Linked DNA regions of Xenopus tropicalis. The protein of the gene in region 1 purifies or fractionates together with the protein of each later gene. This does not show direct contact. Links are inferred from orthologs where the notes say so. Each region holds a gene or a part of one and is shown in the gene's direction. Other genes may lie near its edges.

What was found.
Region 2: the proteins of egfr (region 1) and eps15 purify together in Homo sapiens (affinity purification with western blotting; 6 studies listed by BioGRID and IntAct, with this or other methods). This does not show direct contact. The link is inferred for Xenopus tropicalis from reciprocal best matches to the Homo sapiens genes EGFR and EPS15.
Region 3: the proteins of egfr (region 1) and dnaja1 purify together in Homo sapiens (affinity purification with mass spectrometry; 3 studies listed by BioGRID and IntAct, with this or other methods). This does not show direct contact. The link is inferred for Xenopus tropicalis from reciprocal best matches to the Homo sapiens genes EGFR and DNAJA1.
Region 4: the proteins of egfr (region 1) and lgals1.1 purify together in Homo sapiens (affinity purification with mass spectrometry; 3 studies listed by BioGRID and IntAct, with this or other methods). This does not show direct contact. The link is inferred for Xenopus tropicalis from reciprocal best matches to the Homo sapiens genes EGFR and LGALS1.
Region 5: the proteins of egfr (region 1) and sptlc1 purify together in Homo sapiens (affinity purification with mass spectrometry, with the first as the bait; 3 studies listed by BioGRID). This does not show direct contact. The link is inferred for Xenopus tropicalis from reciprocal best matches to the Homo sapiens genes EGFR and SPTLC1.
Region 6: the proteins of egfr (region 1) and saal1 purify together in Homo sapiens (affinity purification with mass spectrometry; 4 studies listed by BioGRID and IntAct, with this or other methods). This does not show direct contact. The link is inferred for Xenopus tropicalis from reciprocal best matches to the Homo sapiens genes EGFR and SAAL1.
Region 7: the proteins of egfr (region 1) and cse1l purify together in Homo sapiens (affinity purification with mass spectrometry; 4 studies listed by BioGRID and IntAct, with this or other methods). This does not show direct contact. The link is inferred for Xenopus tropicalis from reciprocal best matches to the Homo sapiens genes EGFR and CSE1L.

What each region holds. Positions count from the first base shown.
Region 1 is NC_030682.2:56,743,987-56,747,975, forward strand, and holds the start of egfr (epidermal growth factor receptor), read left to right. Parts: upstream 1-1,189; 5' UTR 1,190-1,210; coding exon 1,211-1,295; intron 1,296-3,989. UniProt on the Homo sapiens protein: Receptor tyrosine kinase binding ligands of the EGF family and activating several signaling cascades to convert extracellular cues into appropriate cellular responses.
Region 2 is NC_030680.2:96,281,152-96,284,651, reverse strand, and holds part of eps15 (epidermal growth factor receptor substrate 15), read left to right. Parts: intron 1-146; coding exon 147-255; intron 256-973; coding exon 974-1,009; intron 1,010-2,229; coding exon 2,230-2,546; intron 2,547-3,190; coding exon 3,191-3,260; intron 3,261-3,500. UniProt on the Homo sapiens protein: Involved in cell growth regulation. May be involved in the regulation of mitogenic signals and control of cell proliferation. Involved in the internalization of ligand-inducible receptors of the receptor tyrosine kinase (RTK) type, in particular EGFR.
Region 3 is NC_030677.2:94,451,940-94,456,080, reverse strand, and holds the start of dnaja1 (dnaJ homolog subfamily A member 1), read left to right. Parts: upstream 1-1,341; 5' UTR 1,342-1,433; intron 1,434-4,141.
Region 4 is NC_030680.2:122,667,265-122,669,982, reverse strand, and holds the end of lgals1.1 (galectin-1), read left to right. Parts: intron 1-562; coding exon 563-734; intron 735-1,823; coding exon 1,824-1,967; 3' UTR 1,968-2,218; downstream 2,219-2,718. UniProt on the Homo sapiens protein: Lectin that binds beta-galactoside and a wide array of complex carbohydrates. Plays a role in regulating apoptosis, cell proliferation and cell differentiation. Inhibits CD45 protein phosphatase activity and therefore the dephosphorylation of Lyn kinase.
Region 5 is NC_030677.2:139,054,854-139,058,353, reverse strand, and holds part of sptlc1 (serine palmitoyltransferase 1), read left to right. Parts: intron 1-3,068; coding exon 3,069-3,198; intron 3,199-3,500. UniProt on the Homo sapiens protein: Component of the serine palmitoyltransferase multisubunit enzyme (SPT) that catalyzes the initial and rate-limiting step in sphingolipid biosynthesis by condensing L-serine and activated acyl-CoA (most commonly palmitoyl-CoA) to form long-chain bases.
Region 6 is NC_030680.2:1,078,385-1,081,794, reverse strand, and holds the end of saal1 (protein saal1), read left to right. Parts: coding exon 1-63; intron 64-975; coding exon 976-1,154; intron 1,155-1,293; coding exon 1,294-1,386; intron 1,387-2,392; coding exon 2,393-2,485; 3' UTR 2,486-2,910; downstream 2,911-3,410. UniProt on the Homo sapiens protein: Plays a role in promoting the proliferation of synovial fibroblasts in response to pro-inflammatory stimuli.
Region 7 is NC_030686.2:38,128,593-38,132,092, forward strand, and holds part of cse1l (exportin-2), read left to right. Parts: intron 1-29; coding exon 30-127; intron 128-994; coding exon 995-1,145; intron 1,146-1,502; coding exon 1,503-1,711; intron 1,712-1,902; coding exon 1,903-2,000; intron 2,001-2,297; coding exon 2,298-2,383; intron 2,384-3,500. UniProt on the Homo sapiens protein: Export receptor for importin-alpha. Mediates importin-alpha re-export from the nucleus to the cytoplasm after import substrates (cargos) have been released into the nucleoplasm.

The sequences.
Region 1 (3,989 bases):
ACTTTTTTAAAAAGGTCGGGGGATCCCTGCTCTATAGCATCTCACAGCAGCCCTTCTGTCAGCTGAGGTTCAACTCCACATTATCCCTTGGTCCATCCTGGCTGCTCAGTGAAGGACCCTTTGATTTTTTCTATGCCCTTCATAAAAGGCATCTGCCTCTTACCAGCTTTTACTGGGTGGCTGGAGGAGGGCTGGGGGCTCAGTTGTTTAACACAGGGTTACCAGATCACATGAAATTTCAGGGACACCTATACATGTTACATTTAATTGCAATCACTGCAGCCCTGGATTTTATTGACACGTTCCATAATTTTGAAGTTAAATGGTAACTTCTTATCTAGACACCTAATATGCACCGCATTGATCCAAACAGTCACAGGTGTCATTTTTGATTCCCTGGAACACTCTAATCTGGCGTTTCATGTGACAGCGGAAGACGTGGTGCTTTACAGCCCATCGCAGAAAGACAAACTTTAGCTTTGTTAAAACGTATTTGTTGACAAAATGTATTTGTCAAGCAGTAGTTTTCAGCTTCCATTTTACTTTTTGAAGCACTCCAGCATTTACAAAATTATATTTTGCTCATAAATATAAACGATTCTGCTGATTTGCTAGTGAACTGCATTATTGCGCGAATTGTCTCCTATTGTGTTTGTTGTGACCAATAGGTGGCGCTGCTTCCCTTGCTCCTATGAAGCTCTGCCAGGAGTGAGCGATAATAATGCCCGTAGCTCGGCTCGTCCTGGAGTGTGAGGAAGGCTGTGGGAGGGGGAGTGGAATGAGGCACACCTCTCCGTGATGTCACAGCAGCCAAACATGCCAGATTCTTTTCGTGAGGGACTCACACAGACCGGCTCGTTCTGTCAAAAGTTTTGCAACTCCTGGGAAGTGAGTGTGGAAATAGGGATAAGCAGTTCCTGTCACTGGCACTTCGTTTACTCCCTGCTGTTTCTCCATACACCAGATAAGAGAAGACACTGGACTGTCTCATGTGAGAGAGCCCCACAATAAGCTCGGAGTCCAACGCTCTCAGCTTCCTTCTATTCCCTCCGCTCCCCCGTGGGTATATATCGTGTTCACAATGGATGTGAGGCGTTCTGTGGATTTGGGTCACTGAAACAAGACCGGTGTCAGAGGCAGCAGATAAAGCACAGGACTGCAGGAAGGATCCATCCTCATTTCTGTTCTTGGGGGTAGCTGAAGACTCGGGATGGGGTCTTTTAGCCGGAGTGTGGGATTATATATCTGCGTCTTCTTCGTCAGTCAGTCCTGCTTTTCTCTGGAAGAAAAGAAAGGTAAGGAAAGAAATTCACTTGCCACTTCATTGCTTCTGTGCCTGTAGGGAAGCCAGCCCTGGCACACAAAGGGTTATCAGACTTTCTGCGTTTCTGATAGTGGCAGTGTTGGTTTGGCTAGTGAATTGCCTCTCTCTACATCCACTTATTGATTTCCTGTGACCTACAGAGTGTAGCCAGGAGTATAGGGTGAGCCTACCTGGCTGGATACAGGTAATCCTCCTCTGGTCTGAATATGGGACAAGGGGACTCCCTGTGCCTCCTATGGGAACTATAAGGATACAGGAAATACACAAGAAAGTAAATCCCTTTCCTTCAGTGGGCTGTGACAGCAATATTACAAAATTATCCTGAGAAATTGGTCTTGTGTTTTGAAAAGACATGCTTTTGTGATGGCAGAGACTGTCCTGGAGTGTGAGCTGTGTACATTTGTAGTCACCCTGTGTATAAACTTGTGACTATGTCCTTGTAGAATGGTTACAGAAACACCTCTATAAAAGAGATACTTAGTGGGTGGATGTAATAAAAATCATCCTATGGTATAATTGCATAAATAAGAACAAAAATGTGTGCTCAGCAATGCATTATTTGACTATTATTGCAATATTATGCATTAGACAAATATTGCATTGTGACTTTTAATTACACATAACACATTTGTAAGACCTGCTGCAAGGTGGCATATTTTTTGTGCAAATTTTTTTTTGTTTAATTAAGAAGCTTTATAACCTATACTGTGCACTAATGCAAACAATAAACTGCACAGTATTTTTGTACTGTTATATGGGTTGCTAAATAGTTTAGCTGGTTTGCAAACCCTATATTAAATATGTTCAAAGGATAAAAAGCTTGCATAGTGAATAATTTTTCTGACTTAAGTTACTTTGCCCTCATTGGAACTCATCTTCAGCTTCAAAACCCACACACAGGGCATAAGGCAAGAGCAAGGAACTTAAAAAAACTACAAACAGTTATTTACATAACTTACAACAGTTTTATTTGCATTTGATGGATTGATTGATGCAGCAGATAAACAAGTGTTTAAATATGTATATATCTACAGTATATATAGAGAGGCAGGCTTACTGGTGAGTGAATGTATGTATAGTTATAAAACGCCAGCATCTGGACTTAATATAAAATATCTGTGACATTTCATGGGAGCCTATGCTACTGTCCAACAATGATTTTTTTTTTGTTTTTTTTAATGAAATTGATCTTGCCTCTGTTTTCAGTTATGTGTTGTAGCTTATATAACATTAAGAACAAAACCCATTTTTTTTTTATAAATAAGTAGGTGGGTGAAATTCTTCTCTGACTTCTGAGCAATTTGTTTTACCACGCTCTTTCAGACCACAGATGGTTAACATATACTGTCATGTGTGTAGTTAATAGGATCCGCTAAATAACTACTAAGGCTAAGATGCTGGCTCCCCACCCTTTTTAGAAAAGAATTTATCAGGAGCTTGCTATACAAGCACAGATTTGTATTTGTTCTAGTACATTGCACTTTGTACTGTAAAAATAACAATACTTTAACAGTTCTGTCATGTGGGCATGCTGAAGTCTTGACTTGGGGCAATAGAATTCAGTCTGTTCCAGGTGTGCAGTTCGACTGAATAAATGTGACAATGTAAACGGGGTTTCGTACGATATTATCAGTGAGTGTATGGCCAGCTTTAGACTAAACTTGTCCCCCCACCATAATTTTTATTTCCTTCTGCCACAGTGGTTGCAAATTCTGTTGGTGCCACAAACATTCCACTATGGAATGTATAAATAAATAAATACATGTCAAATCTCAATGAAACCTTTATTTAATGTTTGTGTTTTGCATATTTTATACTTATTTCAGCCGCTTTACATAATATTTTGTCTTATATAAATTGGTACAAATGTCATTGCTGCTGATATCACACTGATATTTACCTGGAGCCAAAGGATTTTTTGTACTTGTGTGTATGATATATTTATGACATTCCTTCAGTAAGACCTCTGCCTGGTATCTGTGCACCTGACTCCCTGTTTTTGCTTTATGTGTTTGGCCAAAGATGGATTAAACAGCTTCCTTCTACTGCCTAACAAAAAAAAACATTACGTCAGTCCATCTGTTTAATTACAGTGCAATATTGGCAGCCCAAAACTGCATATCAATCTTCATATGTTAGATAACATCAGGATGGCTGATATACAGAAGTGCTGGCTGGCACAATAGGAGAGTTCTCTACTACGCATAGAGAGTTGGGTAGAACTTTCAGAACTTCATGGAAGAATTGCTATGCCTTTGAACACTGTATGACTGTGGGTATTTGTGAGCCCGAAGAACTGTGCCACATTTAATCATTTTATAAGATAAAACTAAAACCAAGCTCCCTGCAATAACTTGATCATACACTTTTAAATCTTCATGCCTGGACAGAGCATAGGTGATGATTTAGTATCATGGTTGTTCATTTCTTCTAATGGTTCTAATGTAATTAAACTTTTGATTGTGTAATATCACTTACGAGTTTTACAGCAGGGAAAAACAATTGGACCAACACTTCCTGATCTCTATGGAATTCTGTCTAATCTGAAAACCTACCTTGTCTAGCAGGGGAAGGCAACAGTCATCAAGCAAGCTGACCTCTTTACTGAAACCATAGTAAATGTACAAGGCTGGAGTTCAGTTTCCATGTTTGAATCAAGTTGCTG
Region 2 (3,500 bases), on another chromosome or scaffold:
TCTTTAGTGGATATAAAAAAGCACATTAAAAAGGATCTACATTTGCACTGCAGTGTCCTTACCTTTTATGCAGTAGTAGAGTTTCTCTAATGAATCAGCTGAACCTGAAGTGGAACTGAATTAATGTGAAATGTTTTTTTCTGTAGGAGGTCAGTTTTCAGGTTGATCCCTATGACGTGAATCCAGTTGCTCCCCCTTCTGCTCCTGTCCAAGATCCCGGATTGGATTTCTTTCAGAGTGATCCTTTTGTTGGCAGTAAGTCATAGAAAATGTCTGATTGAGAAGGTGTTCAGAATACCACAGGTTTACTTCTTATACAGAAAAATAAACAAGAGTTGAATGCCATAATGGCTCTTCACAAGACTACAGACTGACTGTAGGACATTTCTTGCCAAGAAATACTTTATTTGTAGGTGCCTGATGAATAGATACAGGCTTGAAAAAGTGGTCATTTTAAGAATTGCCTGCAACTTCCTTAAGGCTGACAAACCAGGAAGGGAATCCTCATACTTAAAGGAATGGTAACAAGTGTTTTAAAGTAATTAAAATGTAATGTGGTGTTGCCCTGAATTGGTGTGTTTGCTTCAGAAACACTGCTATAGTTTATATAAACAAGATGCTGCATAGCAGTGGAAGCAATTGAAGTACGGCTAAATGACAGAGGTTAAATAGCAGATAACGGATAAGCTCTGTAGAACATCATTATATTCTTTAGAGCTTATCTGCTATATATGCATTTTATCCCATGAATGGCTGCCCCCATGGCTTCAAAACAGCTTATTTGTATAAACTATCATAGTGTTTCTGAAGCAACACTACATTGCATTTTAATTGCTTTTTATTTGGAAAACAATTATGTATGCTATGTTAAAAAAAACATAGTTCTTAATGTCTGTCCCTTTTAAAGCAGGTTTGAAAAGCATGTGGACCTTACATATGGTTTTATTTGCATATGATTTCATTTATATTCCAGGCGATCCTTTTAAAGATGATCCATTTGGGAAAATAGGTAAATTTTCTTTTTAATTTTTTTTTTTTTTAATGTAAATGTCTGCTTTGGCATGTATGAACTGAAATCCTGTGTTATTGTGGTCTTATATATGGAGGCACATGCACTGTTTCCTTCACTAGTGTAAAAAGCTGATCCTCTGCCTTCCACTACATACATGTGTGTGCGACATGGGATCAGCCCATAATCAATGTGTACACAGAGAGCAGATTTTGATGCGTACTGTACTGAAATCTGCTCTGTGTGCACTGATGGGCTGAACCCTTGCCTAACAGCGCACACATTCAGTTAGCATAACTATTGATTGTTGTTCTTATATTTACAGAGATATATCAATCCACTAGTTATATATAGATAAACCCCATATGTTGTTTTACATGAGGGGTTGTTTACTGATTCCCGGGGTGCAAATGCTTAACAAGCACTCAAGCCTCAGGGAATGCTGCACTCTGGATTAAAAATCTAGAGCTGAGAGTGCACCAAGCAGAGTGTGTTAGGGTAAGGCACCATGGAGTGTTGGTTCTGCTGGTCTGAGCCTTGAGTTTTGTCTCAGCTTGAGAAAAGCGAAGGTGCTCCTGTTGGCCTAAAAACACCTGCTTAAGGGGCCTTATCCATAGGGGGCACAGGCAACAAGGCCCACTGCTGCTCCTTAACTTGCACGTCTGAATGTCGCACCAGTTGGGGGCTGGGTGAGGACACATACATGCCCATCCCCCCTTCAACAATACCATGCTGACTAATGCAGTCATGTAGTCAGTATTTATGGGGAAAGAAGCAGGTCTCTGCATTCCTACTTTGTACACTATGTTCTGTTTTGTTTTAAATTACTCCTATATTATTTTAAATCTGGGCACATAAACCTATTGTCCAAAAGCCTGTACGTTATGAAAGTCTCTGAATATGACACGGTGCATATGAAATAATTTTCTTGAGGGTCGTAGCACAAGTCACCTAAAATACCTTTTCACTAGCCAACATTTTGATGGTAACCCTGACTGTATCCCTTAAAAGCTTAAAAGGAAGTATAAACATTTAGTAGTGTTAGAATGTTTGTGAAGTCTAAGGAGATATCTCTGCCTAGACTAGCAATATATGGCAACACTTATCCATGTATATAAACTTTAATAAATAAAAAAAAAAAAAAAGCTTCTGTTTGAATTGCCACATGTAAAACAAGACTTTTTTTTAAAAAAAAATCTTTTTTTCTCTGTTCCTGACAGATCCATTTGGTGGGGATCCTTTTAAAGATTCCGATCCGTTCGCCTCTGATGTATTTTTCAAACAGGCTTCTGCAGATCCTTTTGCATCTTCTAAAGTGGATTCTTCTAAAGAAGATCTTTTCTCCAAGTCCAAAGCGGATTCTTTCACATCGTCGAATGCAGATCCATTTGTGTCCTCCAAAGCAGAGTCTTTAACATCTTCAAAAGCTGATCCTTTCCAGCCCTCCAGCGCTGATCCTTTCAAGTCCTCTGAACAAGATCCTTTCACATCTGCCAAAGTTGATCCTTTCTTAGCCACAGAAAGCACTTTTTCTTCTGTACGTATCTGTATACTGTGTGTCCCGCACATGTGATATAAAATGGAAGACCTGCTTATGGCCCTCTAGATGATGTTAAGCTTAGACTGTTGTTGAATAATTACTCAGAGCATTTTTGGAATATGAATCATAGCTGTTATTGTATAAATATTCAGTTGAATATTAGTGGGGCGGATTAGCTTTTATTACTTTATCATTGATAAAGTGGAAGCACTGTACCATATGTAAGGTTGTACTCTTTCTGCAGCAACATGTTTTCTTCTCAGTGTTAGTTTTAACACTCTAGCTACTTTAGAAATACCAGCTGATGTGAGCACATATTTTATTGCAAACAGATAATGCAAACTGGCATAATGATAACCCTAAAAGCATAAAAACTGAACTGTGCACTGAACTTTACTCAACCTCTCACTAATGGGAAGGCAAATTCAAATCCACATTAATCCATTTTTATCTAGGAGAAGCATCATGGAAACACTGGAATCTATGTAGCACGGCTGAGTCATATGCATTAGATTTGTTTATAGAGCCAAACCTTCCCACCCCAATGTGTCATGATTAAAACATACGCTTTTTTTATTTTTTTAAACAATAATGTTCTGTTTTTATTTACAATTAATAAGCATATTTTATCTTTTCTCAAGGAAGACACTTTAAAAAATAATGATCCATTTGCTCCAGGTGGAACTGTAGTCTCAGCTGTTAGTGAGTCAGGTGAGTCAGCCTTTCTTTTTCTTTACCTTTAGAGAATGCTGGGAATTGAATTATGGACACATGATGGACACAGTGCAGCATCTCTGCTATGTCTGCATGAGCAAATTGTATTTGTCTTTTGTCCTGCAAAATGTATATAATTTTATTTTCCTTTGTACTGTCCATAGCATTATTTACATCATATTTTTGGCATGAGTGAGATAGTTAAACTATCTGTCATGATTTTTATGGTGTACTCTT
Region 3 (4,141 bases), on another chromosome or scaffold:
GTGTGTTTGCTACAGTAACACTACTATAATTTATATAATAAGCTGCTGTGTAGCCACGGGGGCAGCCATTCAAGCTGGGAGAAAAAGCACAGGTTACATAGCAGATAACAGATAAGTTCTGTAGAGTACAATAGTGTTTTATCTGTTATCTGCTATGTGCCTGTGCCTTTTCTCCTTTGAATGGCTGCCTCCATAGCTGCATAGCAGCTTATTTATATAAATTATAGTAGACTTTCTGAAGTAAACACACAACTTTTACCAGTGCAGGGCAGCAGCACATTATATTTTAGTTACTTTTATACACTTTCATTTTTTGGTGTTACTGTTCCTTTAAATATGCAGCAGTTTTGGTCTCTAGAGCCTTATTGATAGAGTTCAAAGAAGAGGGAACAAGCTGATAAAGGGAATAGAAAGGCTGATGAAATGCTATGATAACCATGTATGAATGCACCTTACAATAAACTTTTTAAAGGGAGCAAGAACCACAGAACCATTGTTGACAACCAACATACAAGGCTGGCTGCTTGTACTCATGTCCTGCAAGCCCTATTAACCGTAAATTATGCCCACCAATTTCCACTTGGTTTTCTCCTTGTAGTCCTGCTCATATGATAAGCTTAAAGCATGGGTATTCGGCATGTAATAAATGTACTTGTTTGTAATGAAAAATTGCCTTTGACCCATGTTTTCTGATTACAATATTGGACCCTGGGCAACTTGGAATTGTCTATTGCAGTCACAAAGAAGCAGCATCCCTTCTGATGAGATGACAACTTCGCTCTTTAAACGGCATGGCTATATGTTGTAAAGTTATCACGTTTCTGTGAAGCCTTGCAGCTATTCGGTAGGGAAGCTGTCCCTTAAGACAATTCCAAAGACGCAAATTTGTATAAATATATGTATGTACAATCTTACCTAGCGTGGGTACACACGAAACATCAACAGCTATACACTACAAGGCGGAGCCTGCATATACTATGACCTACGGAATACAAGTGGACGCAAATCTCTGTCGGCCATTAATATGACAGACACGTATTTTAAAAGGCTGATAAAACACCACGTATGTGAGTGTAAAAAAAATCATTAGGCGTTTTTCGTGGTGTTTAACCATACCAATTCTTAGAATTCACGTGGTCGTCAATCAATTCAACTGATTTCAGTGCCACGTAGCGGTTGGAACGCAAGGCGTGCTGCAGTGAACCGCATCAGGCACGATTGGCAGCACGTTCCCGCCCTCACTAACGCGCAGTTGGATTGGAGCCTGAGTATTTGCCGGTTCCGGACTCTAGGCGTCATCGTGGTCTCACCACCCCCTTCTCTTTCCTTTTACATAAGATTCCCGGATGTGACTCTTGTTCCCTCGATCCTTCTAGAAGCTGTTAGACGGAGAAGACCGCTAGCCACCTTGAATATACAGTGCATTATCGTGGGTATGAAGGCATTAATACATTTATTTATTGTTGATTTTGTTGTTTTTTTTATCCCAGCTAAATGGAACACGTGCCGTGTTTTCTGTCTCAAACGTAGTCGTTGCTTTTATATGAGCGAGTTTTGGATGTAAGCGGTTATTGACTATATTTTTTGCAGGTTAGAATTGAACTCTAACGTTTTTCCCTAATGAATAGTACGCCTGGCTATGATTTTTTTAAATTCCTTTGGGTTATGATATCACATTTGTCGGTCCGAGGTTATGTGGGTTCGTCTTTGGTCGGCGAGGAGGTACTGAGCTAGGTGCCTGATGTTGGCTATTCTCTTGTCACGTGACTTGGCAGTGTTGGTCATTTGACTGGGGTCAGTGTTTCATTGCTCTTTTCTCCTGATTGAAGGCTCCCTGGGGCTCAGTTTTGGATCAATACCGGGTTTTAGTGTTTCTAGGCAATGAATGCCTGAAAAGTGACCCACCTCTAATTGTGTTGCTAAGAGAATTGCATAAGTGTATCCACACATGAAATACATCATAATGCATAGGTTTTAGCGGTACAAAACCCATGGCATCCTTCAGAAGTCTGACCACTTTGTGAGAATTAACTATTTCTATGCACGTTGTCCCAAAGTGTATTACCAGGATTTCTGTAGTTTAACAGTAGTGCTGGTGTCATATTTTGTTGGTTTATTTTTTTCTTTTATTTATGATTATGATTATTTAACTTATGATTATTTATGATGATCAATGCAATTCAACTTCCTACATGTTGCAGAGAGACTGTTACCTATTCCACATATTCATTATACAATTTACACATTTACTTAAAGGAACAGTAATGCCAAAAAATGTTAGCCTTTTAAAGTAATTAAAATGTACTGTTGCCTTGCACTGGTAAAACTGGCATGTTTGCTACAGATTTCCTACTATAGTTTATATAAATAAGCTGCTGTGTAGCCATGGGGGCAGCCATTCAGATTGGGGGGAAAAAGGCACAGGGTACTTAGCAGATAACAAATAATGCTCCATTATATTTTACAGAGCTTATCGGTTATCTGCTATGTAACCTGTGCCTTTTCTTCTTTGAATGGCTGCCCCCATGGCTACACAGCAGCTTTGTTTATATAAACTAGAGTAGCCTTTCATTTTTTGATGTTACTGTTACTTTAATGTAAAGCAGCTTGGCAGACACAGACAAGGGGTCATTAAAGGAACAGTAACACCAAAAAATGAAAGTGTATAAAAGTAATTACAATATAATGTACTGTTGCCCTGCATTGGTACAACTGGTGTGTTTGCCTCAGAAAGACTACTATAATTTATATAAGTAAGCTGCTGTGTAGCCATGGGGGCAGCCATTCAAAGGAGAAAAGGCACAGGTTACTTAGCAGATAACAGATAAACCCTCATTATATGGGGCTTATCAACTAGTTATCTGCTATGTAACCTGTGCCTTTTTTCCAGCTTGAATGGCTGCCCCCATGGCTACACAGCAGCTTATTTATAAAGTAGCTTTTCTGTAGCAAAAACACAATTTTTTTTTGCAGAGCAACAGCACATTATATTTTGATTACTTTAAAACATAATAATTTTTTGATGTTACTGTTCCTTTAAGATACCACAGATACAGAGTGCACTTCCAAATGCAATCACCATGTTTTCTACCCACTGGGAAGCTCCCCCCCCCCCCCCCCCCACAGAATTCCATTGCTTTGTTGTGGTTGCCAGGGAGAGTTGACAGGATTATGGGTTGTGTGTCAAAAATGACTTCGTTTGATGCAAATCGTAAACACTGAAATTTTATTTTTTGCAATTAAGGAAGAAAGAAAGAAAATTGATATTCTCTCTTCCTAAATTGCATTTATGTTTTTGATCATGCACACCCTCATGCACAATTTATTTTTGCATTTTTTTATTTAAGTGTTGGTGCCCCATCTATATCTTCAATTTTATTTTTTGATCTGTCAGATGTTATATCTGGGATTTAGCGTGGTTCTTTTGGTGCCTCTGCACTGCACCTATTTTAGTAGGCAACTTTGAGTACCCTGAAGCTACTGCCTGGTTCAGAGATGGCAGTAGTGCTAGGGTTCTCCCTGCATCAGTAGGCACAACTATGTGCAATTCAAAACAGGCAGAAGTGCAGAGCGCAACTGTACAGAAGTGCAAGGACTGCATGTTGATGTAAGTAACTTCAAAGAAGGGTAATTTTTGTGCAACTGACTGCAATTGCACTTCATTAACTAAATGACCCCAATGGAGTGGTGACAGCATTTCGCATTTTTTTTTTCACACAAGGTCTAAGGTGGGATTTATCAACAGTCGAGTTTGTTTTCCTTTCGATTTAGGTATTTTGGCACTTTAAAAAAAAAAAAAAAAAAAAACCTCAAATTTGAGTTGTTTCAAAAACTCGAATGTCTGGTATTTATTAAGTGCAAACACCCCAAAAATTAGAATGTAAAACTTTACCGTGTAAAAGCTTGCAGATTTCTATGTTTTCTCCCAGATAATGGCAGCAGAAAAGGTTCTATGTGCCAGCTCACCCATGTGACTTCATCTCTGCAGGAAACTGCTTTGATTTGAATGCTAATTGCCTGGGTCCAGCTCACTGGCTGATTATCATTGAAAATGTGGCCTTTTGCGACTCATTTGATTTCTAACTCAGTGGGCGGGTGGCAAAATATTAGGAACTGCTCAAGCTAGTTTTTTGGTGGCTGG
Region 4 (2,718 bases), on another chromosome or scaffold:
TTTGTCTGCATATCTGCAGAGAGGAATGTGCAGTTAGCCGTTTCTAATGCATAAATAAGATAAACATTTAAAGGGGACCTGTCACCCTAATAAATAATTCCAAATTGTTTTCTATTGTGTTTGTCAAGAAAAATCAACTTTATTCACACCATATAAATTATTTAAATCTTGTTTCCTTCAATCCTGGAATTCACAATCACAGCAAGTAGGCAGGTGCCATTTTGGACATTTTGTTATGAAGATAAGCTTTTCATCATGCCAAAATCTTGTGCCAAAATGGGGGACCTGATGCCCATGCACTGGCTACACAATGCACGTATGCCTAGCCCTATATATATATACATAGTGCTGATAGTAGGGGATACTAATAAGTTTTAACAAGATTCTGTTTTAACAATGGCCTGTCTCCTAGAGCAAATAACAGGACATGGTCTAGATTACATGAGCTCCTGCTGGGCCTTGTAAAGGCACCTAATTACTGTACTGTTTAACACTAATTATTGTACTCAATACCGTTGGTTGTACAATACTTTCTGACATGTATTTTGTTTACTTTTTCAAGCTTTGCAATAAACCTGGGAAAAGATAGTTCAAACTATGTCCTTCACTTTAATCCTCGATTTGACCACCAAGGCGACAACAAGAAAATCATCTGCAACTCAAAGGAAGAAAACTGCTGGGGGAAAGAGCAGAGGGAGACTGCTTTCCCATTCCAACAAGGAGCAGAGACATCGGTAAGCATGAGCATATGATGGTCACATGATTAATGAATATTTCTGTAAAATGGTAGGATTGGCCTCCAATCAAGGCTGTTGGAGTTCAAAATAAAAGTCCAGAATGAAATATGCTATTTGCTGGACACTCTTTGGGATGTGATGCACCCAGGTGGTTCAGAAACCTGTATAAAACACATTTGTTATATGAACTGATCATGTGACTGGTGGATTAAGTGAATGGATTGAGGCCACATTTATGGTGAATAGAATCAGGTTATTCTGAGCATATACAAAATGTGAGAGTGATCCCGTGTCCTGACTATTTTGGACGAGGTGAATGATTCTTTCCTAAATGCAAATGATATATAGCTATCTCTTCCAGAGGGCACCCCTATTAATAGTGTCTTTTTATAATAGAGGGATGAGGGGAGCCAGGTTGAGTGTATTTCTAGTGTAGAATTAGGATGAGCATACTTTATTTCCACTATGTGGGGAATACAAGAGGACATTTACAATGCATAGCCCTTATTTGGCACCTCCAGGTACCTTTTTTATGCTTGTGGTGCTCCCCAACTCTTTTTACATTTGAATGTGGCTCACGGGTTAAAAAGGTTGGGGATCCCTGTTCTAGATACTCCTGAAACCTCAGCCTGGGCTCCCTTTACAGTGAGTTTTGGGATGAACATTTCTTTTATGTTTTAGATATTTGTATCCATCATAATTTTTCATATATATGCAACCTTGTTAGCTAAGGGGGTCCATCCAAATGTTAGACCTTAAACGAGGAAATAAATCCAAAAACGCAAAAAAACACTGCTCTAAGATCTGGTAATATAGCAGCATGAGCGTGTGAAGCATAAGCAAGTAGTTAGAATCAGGGAGAGCCACTGGAATAGCTGTGTAAGGGCCAGAGTAGCACAGGGACTGAGCATTGAGAACATCCCAGTGCTCCTTGTTAAAAGGTTTAACAGCATGAGGAAGAGTATGACAAGATTTGATGATGGATTTATAGTCAGACAAGTTATCCGGCACTGTCTTTCTGAATTAAGTCAGCATATTTGTCTTTATTTGTGTGACTTACAGCAATCATTATCTCTATTTTGACAGATTTGTTTTGAGTATCAAGCAGATCATTTAAAGGTGAAGTTATCCGATGGCCAAGAATTCACCTTCCCCATCCGAATGCCCTTGGATACCATTACATTCCTCTGTATGGATGGAATAGAGCTCAAGTCTTTTTCGCTTCATTAACAGCTCTGCGGCCTCCACAGTCAATAGAAGCCACTAGGCCACATATATAACATGTCATACAGGAAATGTTCTTCGACCCATAATGCACTGTCACTGACAAGCTGTGGGGAGGACTATATAGTTCCTAGTTAGAAAATTTTCTTTCACAAAAGCTACTAAAGCTTTATGTTATCTTATGCAATATATCCTTAGCAGATCTCTCTGTACTTACTATAAACATGAAGTAATAAATCTTTGTTTCATTTATTGTCTGTGCTTGCTCTTGTCTCTTGCTAGTGTTTTCTAAACTCTCCAGGACTGACTATATGCTAAGGTTACCCAATCATGTGAAATACCTGGGACACCTCTAGATATTTCAACTAAAGGGGCTACACTGATTGTTTTTATTTTTAGGCAATTGGTTTGCAATCAGTGCAGCACAGAAAGAGCCTACATTCATTTGTCCCTGGTTTGGTAGTGTCATGATATTTTTCTCACTTAGCACCCTACTGCTCGCTGAGCACCCACAGGCACAGATCTTTGCACTTCAGAATGGAGTGCAAGGACCTGAGTCTTGCTGATGAATACAATGCTCATGAGTTTGGCAGCACTGTATTCAGGAGGGGTGGCACACTGGTGACCTCTATTCAGCCTCCTAATTGCCCCCTAACATCATACATTCAACTACATCATTCAGACATGTTATGAGGTGAATTTGGATGAATGGTGATAGGGAGCTTGCTGCCTGCCTATTTTGGGTGTTTTTGTGCCC
Region 5 (3,500 bases), on another chromosome or scaffold:
TAGCTGTTATGGTATAGTATATCACTGGCATAAATGGGCAAAGGTGGCCCACAAAGATAATGGAAATGGTCAACTTTTTTTTTTTTTAACCCTTTCAGTCCTTTCATTACCCCATTATAAGAAATCTGCATAATTCAGCAAAAAATTTAATTATTGTCATAATCTGCAATTCTCACTATTGTCACTATTGTAAGTCTAAGCACTCCGGTATTATTTCAGCTACATTAATAAATACCTAGCATAGATTTCAGTATTGGCAATATATCTCCTCTATCTTGTGTTTAAAGGTTTCTCTCGACCTGCTTATTCTAGGATTGAATGCTTGGGGGATAACCGGTATTAAAGTTGGCCTCTGCCGCCAGTGTAGAAATCCAAATCCAAAATGAAGGCAATAATACCCATATGGTTGCAGTGGGGGTATTCCCAATTTTTATTGCGGTGCTGAAGACACACACAGCAGGATCAGATGTTTTGTGACAATAGAATGCCGTCCTGCGGGAGGGCAACCTCTCACTTTCCATCTTTTTATTACTTTTTCTTTCTGTTATTCAAATAGCACACTCATGTCAAACTCATGTCCATCTCCTCTAGAATAGCCAAAATTATTGTTAGTGACACCTAAACATAGAACAGTTCGCTAAATCATAAAACTTCTGTAATCTGCCAGATATACTCAACATCTGTTTCATTATGAATACTTTGGGTCTGTTGAAATTCTAGAATAGTGACGCCATTGTAATATTTCCTTAATTGTACACTTCTTCAGCAATAATACAAATAGGTGCATGAGGTGCTATTGAATGAAGCTGGGCATTTTTATACTTTAGTTACCTTTTTGGGGAAAAAAAAAATCTGGTTTCATGTATCTTGGCTGCATCAAGACCATTATTTTCTGTACAGGCGTTTTGGAGCCAAATACATTTTCTCCTACTGTAAAATTATTGGAGTGAAACTGTTCATCTCTAAACAGTCAATTTATCTTAAAAGGATTATTTCCGATCAGCTTCTGTGTTCCTCATCAAGGCTTTTTGAATAAATCCAAGTGATTTTTGCCATATACAAACCAGGAAATGTCTGATTGAATCTACAGCTTTCTTGTACTACTTTAATTTACATTTTGGCAGAAAACAACTGTGATCATCATTGTATGAAACTTTCTCCTTCTGGCATTGTGCTGTTTGTAATGTGAGCAGATGTCTTGGAAAAAACCTAACAGGCAGAGTTTTTCCTATTCTCTTTATAATGATGCAAATACAACAATATTTGTGGGTACTTTATTCATGGGTTAACCCTTTCCTTAAATATTTCAGTTAACTTTTAGTATGATGTAGTGAGTAATATTCTGAGACAATTTGCAGTTGGTCCTCCGTTTTATATTTTTAGTTTAATTTTTTGACTTTTTGGTTCAGCAGCTCTCCTGGACTTTTAGCAGCTGGTTGCTAGGGTTCAAATAACCTTAGTAACCAGTGAGCAGTTTAAATGAGACTGGTAAATGAATAGGAGAGGACCTGGACAGAAATAAGTTATGTAAAGTAATAATAATACATCTGTAACCTCACAGAGCAATAGTTTTTTGGCTGCTGGGGTCAGTGACCCCCATATGAAAGCTGCAAAGGTTTGGAAGAAGAAAGCAAACAATTTAAAAACTATAAAAAAAAAAAAAAAAAATACTGAAGACTAATTGAAAAGATGCTTACAATTGGCCATTGTGTAAGATACTAAAAGTTAACTTAAAGGTGGGTGAACCACCCCTTTTAATATACCTCATTTCTATAATTATATGTAACAAGTAGTAACTGTAATTAAGTATAGGGCATAATTTAACTGTGCTAAAAATAGAAAGATATTTAAAGTTATCAAGGTGTTCTATGATCTCCCATTTTGGAGCTACATACTCCGATAGGGCTAATTTATGCACCAACAATTAATTTATTGGGTTTCACAGTTCAAGTTTGTGTAAACTGCCCACCAAGCCAGCAACATTAAAGTTGCATTTTCTTATTGAATAGTTTATTGAACAAACACGCAGGGTCCAAGCCCCGCTTGCATTACACTCGTTGTGCTGGTCAACTATTTTTTGCTGGATTGTGCTGGGAGTGCCGACTCTCTGGGTGTGCACTGAGTAAGAATTGTTGGAGGAGGTAAGGGTGTGCTGGGTGAACTTTCTTTGTTGCATTTTCTTATATGCCATTTTCTCCCCCCTAGAAATTTATTACGATATAGCAAATTAGATGGACAATAAAAGCCCAATTATAGAGAATCCATTTTCCAGTGACATTAAGCTAAGGGTGAAGGAGAATTCATATAATTAGAGGGCCTCTTGTTTCATTCTGGTGACTATTATTTTAGTATTAAAACTGAAAATAAGGACTGGCTCCTGGTTTTAAGAACGGATTTTAAAATGTATAATGTGCTTCAGAACACAACCGTGGCAAAAGTTTTAAGGGCAACAGCACTCTAAATGTTAGGCACCCCCAAGTGACTTTAATCGCTTACCTTGTAACCCGGGCTGGTCCCCCTGTTAGGAGAAAACAGCAGCAGCCCGGAGTACCTGTAGCGCAGCTCTTCCTCCTTCCGCCTTCGCTTTTGGAAGGACTAAAGACAGGCGCATGCGCAGTAGAGCGGAAAGCCGACTTCTCTGTTGAAGTTCGGCCTTTTCACTCTACTGTTCATGCGCGTGCACGCGAGGAAGCGCTACAGCTACCTCGGCCTCGGTGCTGTTCTCTCCGTACAGGGGCACCAGCCCGGGGTATGAGGTAAGCGATTAAAGTCACTTTGGGGTGCCTAACATTTTGGCACCCCCAAGTGACTTTGCCTTGCCTTCTCTTTTAATTCTTTACACTGGAAAGAATTGTTCTCAACAAAATAATTTCATGCTTTGTGCATAATGGGGAAATGGGCTTTCGTCATATAGGTTTTCATCATGGCAGTTTATAATAATCTAAAGTTTGTGCACTTTAATCAAACTAACAAAGAAAGTCGCTACTTTTTATTTAGTTTAAGCGTCAACCATTAAGAGCTTACCACTTTAGAAACTAATTTTCAAATTTGTGTATGCTTTTCTTCAGCGATGAGGCTGCATGTTTTGCTATTCAAAAAGGCTTACAAGCATCACGAAGCAGTATCAAGTACTTTAAACATAATGATATGGATGACTTGGAGAGATTACTAAAGGAGCAGGAGCTGGAGGATCAGAAGGTAAATCTAAACACAAACATATTCCACAAAAATATATTTATTTAAAGCAGTTTGAGCTTTACAGCTGAAAAAGAGATTAAGGTAGGCAGATTGTCACTTATAGCAAACCAGTGGTCTGCCTGTGAGGTTTGTTTACATGATTTCTAATCTGGTTGGCTGATCACCTCTTTCTGGATATGAATGGGGTCAGGGGTCAGTTTGGAGTAAATTGAGAACACACCTCTTAAATCTGACGTAACAATTCGATTTGTTCTCCTAGACTGGTCCTATGACTTAATTGCATATGATCCCTGTTTAGGAAG
Region 6 (3,410 bases), on another chromosome or scaffold:
TGCTGGCAGTTATGTCGGCCATGTTTGTGTGGCGGGCAGAGCAGGGGCACAAAGTGGAGAAGAGTGAGTATCACAGTTATTCCCTACAGTACGGGGCAGATGGTGGCGCTGTTCAGTTAAGTCCTATGGGACACCCTGAGAGGTGGTGCTGCAGTGTGTAAACCCTCGACTCTGAGAAATGTCTGAGCCAATGAGCTGCATTGGTTCTGCCCCAATCCCAGTATTTTCCTGGCGAGTGATTGGAGCTTCTGGAACCTGGGCGCCACATTATCAGATAGCCACTAGGGGGCACTGTGAGCTTAGGCCCAGTATTCAGCATTCTCTAAAGGTGGCCATACACGGACCGATTTTTTACTTACAAACGACCGATTCCCGAACAATCCGATGCTATCGTTAAGTTATCGTATAGTTGGTGGTGTACGAACGATCGTCGGCCCACTAAACGAGCCGACATTATCGTCCCCAAAATCGATCGGCCAGGTTTAAAAATTTTGGTCGTTTAACGATAAAATCTGCCAGTTGGTGTGAGTGTCAGACATTTGTCTTTCAACGATTGTTCTCTGCGCATATCACGATTGCCAGCAGTGGAAGTCAACGACATTCGATCGTACGTAGATGTACGATCGTACGTATTTTACGATAATGATGCGACGAAATCTTTCCCGAATTATCGTTGCCCGTGGATGGCATATCGTATGGGAACTCGATCGCCATACGATCGTTTGTCGATATAATCGTTCATCGCACAACGAGCGAAATCGCCTCGTGTATGGCCACCTTAACAGCAGCTTTAGTGGGAAGTTACCATTCTATGTACTGGGGTTATGGGTGTTGGGGTGTCAGGGTGACGGTACCAAGGCTTACTTGCCCCTTTGCACCACGCAGGGCTCCTGTTCTCCCCCCCCCCCTACAGTGTGTTTCTGGGGGGCAGGAGGGTCACTCCTGGTCCTTAAATTGCACTTGTATTTCTGTCAGGTTTGCCCCTAATCAGCAGCCTGGCCCAAGTTCTGGAGAACCTGGAGGAGTGCCGGAAGAAGTGCCCGGAGAGTGACGCCCGCGAGGGCCCAGACGCTCGGCAGGACAATTCCCATTTACAGATCCTGAAGGACGTGAGCTGCGAGTTCCTCTCCAACATCCTATCAGAGCTCAGCAAGGTACAAACATGGCCTCTGCTTCTTCCTCATTGGTTCCTATGGCTCTGGTGTACAGAGGGCCTATCATTTGGGTCTTTATCCCAGGTTCTGCCTGGGTCTCGGTCCAACTGTAGCAAAACTCCCTGTCTCTTCTCTCCAGGACAGCGTGTTGCAGGGCATCAGCCTGGGGCATATTACTGAGCGGCGCTGCCAGTGTGCCCTCCGGAACCTTCTGCCCCTCTACAGCACCTCCGTGAGTACTGCTGTGCCAGCCTTTGTGCCCTATGTAATATAATCTCAGGGGGTGAGTGTGTGTGCCCTCGCTCAGGGGGTGAGTGTGAGTGTGTGCCCCCCCCTCAGGGGGTGAGTGTGAGTGTGTGCCCTCGCTCAGGGGGTGAGTGTGAGAGTGCTCTCTCAGTGAGTGTGTGCCCCCCCCCCTTCCCTCGGGGTGAGTGTGAGAGTGCTCTCAGTGAGTGTGTGTGCCCCCCCTTCCCTCGGGGTGAGTGTGAGAGTGCTCTCTCAGTGAGTGTGTGTGCCCCCCCCCCCTTCCCTCGGGGTGAGTGTGAGAGTGCTCTCTCAGTGAGTGTGTGTGCCCCCCCCCCTTCCCTCGGGGTGAGTGTGAGAGTGCTCTCTCAGTGAGTGTGTGCCCCCCCCCTTCCATCAGTGGGTGAGTGTGAGAGTGCTCTCTCAGTGAGTGTGTGTGCCCCCCCCTTCCATCAGTGGGTGAGTGTGAGAGTGCTCTCTCAGTGAGTGTGTGCCCCCCCCCCCCTTCCATCAGTGGGTGAGTGTGAGAGTGCTCTCTCAGTGAGTGTGTGTGCCCCCCCCCCTTCCATCAGTGGGTGAGTGTGAGAGTGCTCCCTCAGTGAGTGTGTGTGCCCCCCCCTTCCATCAGTGGGTGAGTGTGAGAGTGCTCCCTCAGTGAGTGTGTGTGCCCCCCCCTTCCATCAGGGGGTGAGTGTGAGAGTGCTCCCTCAGTGAGTGTGTGTGCCCCCCCCTTCCATCAGTGGGTGAGTGTGAGAGTGCTCCCTCAGTGAGTGTGTGTGCCCCCCCCTTCCATCAGTGGGTGAGTGTGAGAGTGCTCCCTCAGTGAGTGTGTGTGCCTCCCCCTCAGGTGGTGTGTGAGAGAGAGAGGGTGTGCTTCCCCCCTCAGGGGGTGAGAGTGCTCCCTCAGTGAGAGAGCGAGTGTGCCCTTAGAGAGCGTGAGTGCTATATACACAGATAGTGCAGAGTGCCCATTCTGCCCCTGTGTTCCCTTGTAGGTGGGCACTTTCCTGGCTGCCGTGGGTGAAGCTGACCGGAGCTTGGCTGATAAGCTGCGCAGAGAGACCCCCGTCCGGGCAGAACAGACGTGAGGACAAGAGACACTTCCTCGGGGGTAGATTTTCCTGCTGTGCCGCCCCCTGGGTAACAGAACTTTATACCCCTCCACTCGTTCTTGTGCCCCAGCCAGTGGCACAAAGGGTTAAATGCAAAGCGCTCAGGCCGGGGTATTAGAGGTCTCTCTGGGCCTGTGTGACCGGATCTGTAGAACCAGACTGTTCCCCTTCTCCCACCACCCCCTGCTGCAATAGGGGGGCACTGTGACAGCCATTCTGTGCGTTTCCATTGGCTGTGTGTGTTCCTGGGTATGGGGGATTATGGGATACGGAGAGGAGGGGACTGGCACACGTATGGTTAATAGGATGAGGCTGCTCATTGGTCGGGAAGAACCGACTTTTTATTCCCTTGTTGCCAGAAATGTGAGAGAATAAATTAGATTTTCTATTTTATCCCTAAATCCTCGTGTGGCTCCTGCCTGCTGCCACTAGGGGGCAATCATACCCGGGTAACTACCCTCCAACCCCCCACCTGTGTGTGGGACTCCTAAATGCCTGACACGGTGTTGGGGGGGGGGGGAAGGGAATATCTGCCCCGTCAGGTGATGGGGCATTGGGGTGCATTCCAGAACTTGTCCCATTGGGTTGGTTCTGTAGGCAGTGGTGGGCCAAGGGGTACTGGTTCCCAAGGAAGGGTGCTTGTGCCCATTCAATACAGAGGGAGGGGGTTTTGCAATAAATGATTTTCCCAGTTGGACCTGCCCCCCCAGGGCACATGTTTTGCTGCCCGCTTGCGCTGGCATGACTGGGGCAGATTTGGGCGGTGCCACAGCAGCAGATATAATGACCCCGTGCCACCTGGGCTGAACTAATAACAGCGGGAAGGTGGGGGGGCATGGGCTCAGGGACTGAGAATGGGGGCACGTGCCAGCCAACCGGATCTCAGAGATTAGTGGCGCTG
Region 7 (3,500 bases), on another chromosome or scaffold:
TTAATGTATACTATCCTTTATTTTTATAGCAATCATGAGAAGCTTTTCATTGCTGCAGGAAGCCATCATCCCTTATATACCCTCTGTGATCAGCCAACTAACACAGAAGTTGCTTGCAGTGAGCAAGGTGTGGTGTTTTAATACTTTTTCAGTGTTTGCACAAATTAGCGGGCCTTTTTTTGTGTGATGTGGTCAGTGTTATTCAGATTATTTTTTTTTTCTGTCAGCAATATTTGTGGTTTTCTAATTACTTAAAGGGGAAGGAAAGGCAAAGTCACTTGGGGGTGCCAAAATGTTAAGCACCCCCAAGTGACTTTAACCGCTTACCTTGTACCCCGGGCTGGTGCCCCTGTTAAAAGAAAATAGCACCAGCCCGGGGCACCTGGAGCGCAGTGCTTCCTCCTTCCGCCTTCCACTTCCTAAACTGCCGGTGGCCGGGCATGCACAGTAGAGCGAAAAAGCCGACTTAAATGTTTAAGTTCGGCTTTTCACTCTACTGCGCATGCGCGCGCAGCGAAGCCGGAAGGAGGAAGCGCCGGCAGCTACCCCGGGCTGGTGCTGTTTTCTCCTGACAGCGGCACCAGCCCGGGGGAAAAGGTAGGAGGTTAAAGTCACTTGGGGGTGCCTAACATTTTGGCATCCCCAAGTGACTTTACCTTTCTTTTTCCTTTAACGTTTTTGTCCTACTGCTGGAGAGGGCCTGTATAAACATGCAAGAAATATAATGCCTAGCGTCACCATCTGCATTCTACATTTCTGACTGGCATAGCCTATATAAGAATCATTGTTGGTCTCCAATTAGTGATTTCATAGATCAGAGGGGAACTTAGAACCACCGAATTGCCATTGGATCAATGTTCGTTTTATGCCAGCATGGTAGATCCTATGGTTTGTGGCAGCATGTATAGGGTTAAAGCAAGGTCTGCTTGCTAGAGTTCAGATAGAAAACTGACTGTTGCAAATAAAACTGAGGTTGTATTCTTTACTCTTTTAGAATCCAAGCAAACCTCATTTCAATCACTACTTGTTTGAGGCCATCTGTTTATCTATACGGATCACCTGCAGAGCAAACCCTGCTGCTGTTGGGAGCTTTGAGGATGCCCTCTTCCTGGTCTTCACAGAGATCCTGCAGAGCGATGTTCAAGGTACAGTATTACAGTATGATATAGAGGTGTGTGCCTTTGTCTGTGGCTCGGTACTGTTGGTTAGAAGTAATAGGTCTAGTTCTTAAGTACGGCTAGAGCCAGATGGATATTGTGTCCCATGGCACAGAAAAAATGTAAGTACCAATGGTGACTCTACACATGCTTCTCACACAGCCTCTACCTTTCAAACTGCATATTGAAATCCTCTGCCTATGTGCCACTCGCATCCCTATTAGAAGCTGCCAAGAGGATTTGGATGCTGAATGTGCTGTACCTCTGAACACATGCAGCAGTCCTATGACACTTGATAATGTAGCAGTCAATTCTAGTAATTCCCTCTCATGCTTTTCGTTTCAGAGTTCATCCCCTATGTCTTTCAAGTCATGTCATTGCTCCTGGAAATTCACGCAAATGATATCCCAACATCCTACATGGCCCTGTTTCCTCACCTCCTTCAGCCAGTTCTGTGGGAGAGAACTGGTAACATCCCTCCACTTGTCAGACTTCTGCAAGCCTACCTAGAGAGAGGTGCCAATACCATTGCTGCAAGTGCCTCCGATAAAATTGTAAGTTTGCTTTATTTTTCTATGAGCAGTATTATCATGCCCATTTCTTAGTGGCCCAAGGAAGACTTCAGTGGTCAATTGTGCTTTGAGGTTATGGAAATCTAAAATGATACAAAGCTGACTTCCAGCTCTTTTCTCTACAGCTTCTAATGTACATGATTTGGATATTAATGATTGTCTTTTGTTTGTAGCCTGGTCTCCTTGGTGTCTTCCAAAAACTCATTGCCTCTAAAGCCAACGATCATCAAGGATTTTATCTGCTAAACAGTATTATTGAGCACTTGCCCGCGTAAGTTAAAAACACACAATTGATTTAATCCCTTGTCTAGTCCATGCCTTTGAAAGGAGTTGGGTAGAAATTACATGTTCTCATTGAGGCCAGATAAATTAAAAATATGCCAGTAAGCACTTGTAAGTTTCCCTTTTCTGTGCACCACTCAGTATGTTGCTTTTATGATATCAAAGTGCTCAGAAATGACATTATTTGCCAAGCAGTCCTGACATTTTTCTGTTGGATTTCTACTTATCTAATTGGTTGGCACATGTGTTTATAAAGTATGTCCTGATTGTGCTTGTGTGCCTGCAGAGAATGTATTGAGCAATACAAGAGGCAGATCTTCATTGTTCTTTTCCAAAGGCTCCAAAGCTCCAAAACGACAAAGTTTGTGAAAAGTAAGTCCATTTGTGTTAATTTGAGTAATGTGCAGTCTGGCGAATGTTTTACTATACCACACATTTTCTTTTTCTGTATCTAAATATGCTGAGCAACCATTGGCCTGGCCCTTAATACAACCAATTGTTTTTATAGTTTACACAGTTCTATGAAATAATAACAGTCTAAAGGCACAAGTGTAGCTGAATCAACTGTTACCAAAATTATATTTAAGTACATGCATTCTCCCCAAAAACTGTTTTATTATAAGTGAAATTTGGTTTCTGCGTGTGTGATTGCTTGCCTTTACACTCGCTATAGCACCAGAGCTAAACAACTGGAATTTTGTGTAGATACTGCTATTCAGAACACATGGAGTTTGCTACTTCATGGTTTCATAGTCTGTGGGGCATGTAGGGGTAACTGGGACACAATCTGCTCCTTTGACCCTCACACTAAAGTAGCCTGGGATGCTATATGCTGTACAATGTTTATATTATATACTTGTGCTTATGGTTTAAGCACCTCAGTGACTTCTAATATCCTTATCATTTACAGTAGGGGGTACATTATCCCTTATAATACATGAGTGATACTCAGAGTTCCCTGTATAACTCAGCCTGCAGCCTTGTGCCTTTATATGGTCACAGAACCCCTCAGTGACTGCTAATATCCTTATCATTTACAGTAGGGGGTACATTATCCCTTATAATACATGAGTGATACTCAGAGTTCCCTGTATAACTCAGCCTGCAGCCTTGTGCCTTTATATGGTCACAGAACCCCTCAGTGACTGCTAATATCCTTATCATTTACAGTAGGGGGTACATTATCCCTTATAATACATGAGAATATATGTATTCTTAGTAGAGTATACATTGTAGCTAGTAAGTTACATTATTAGTCTATTTTATAGTGTCATAATTCTGTTCTTCAGTTAATGTGCTTTCATATTGAGGTGTGTGCTGCGTGTACACAAATCGTTTCTATATTGTTCTATGTTACAATTAATTTTATTACCATGGAAATAATTAAATCCTGGCCCAAAATGATACATTGATGTGCACAGAAATCCTCCAGTGCATCTGGTTATTGTTGAGTCACTGATTATAGAGCCATAAAATGGTTGTAATATTG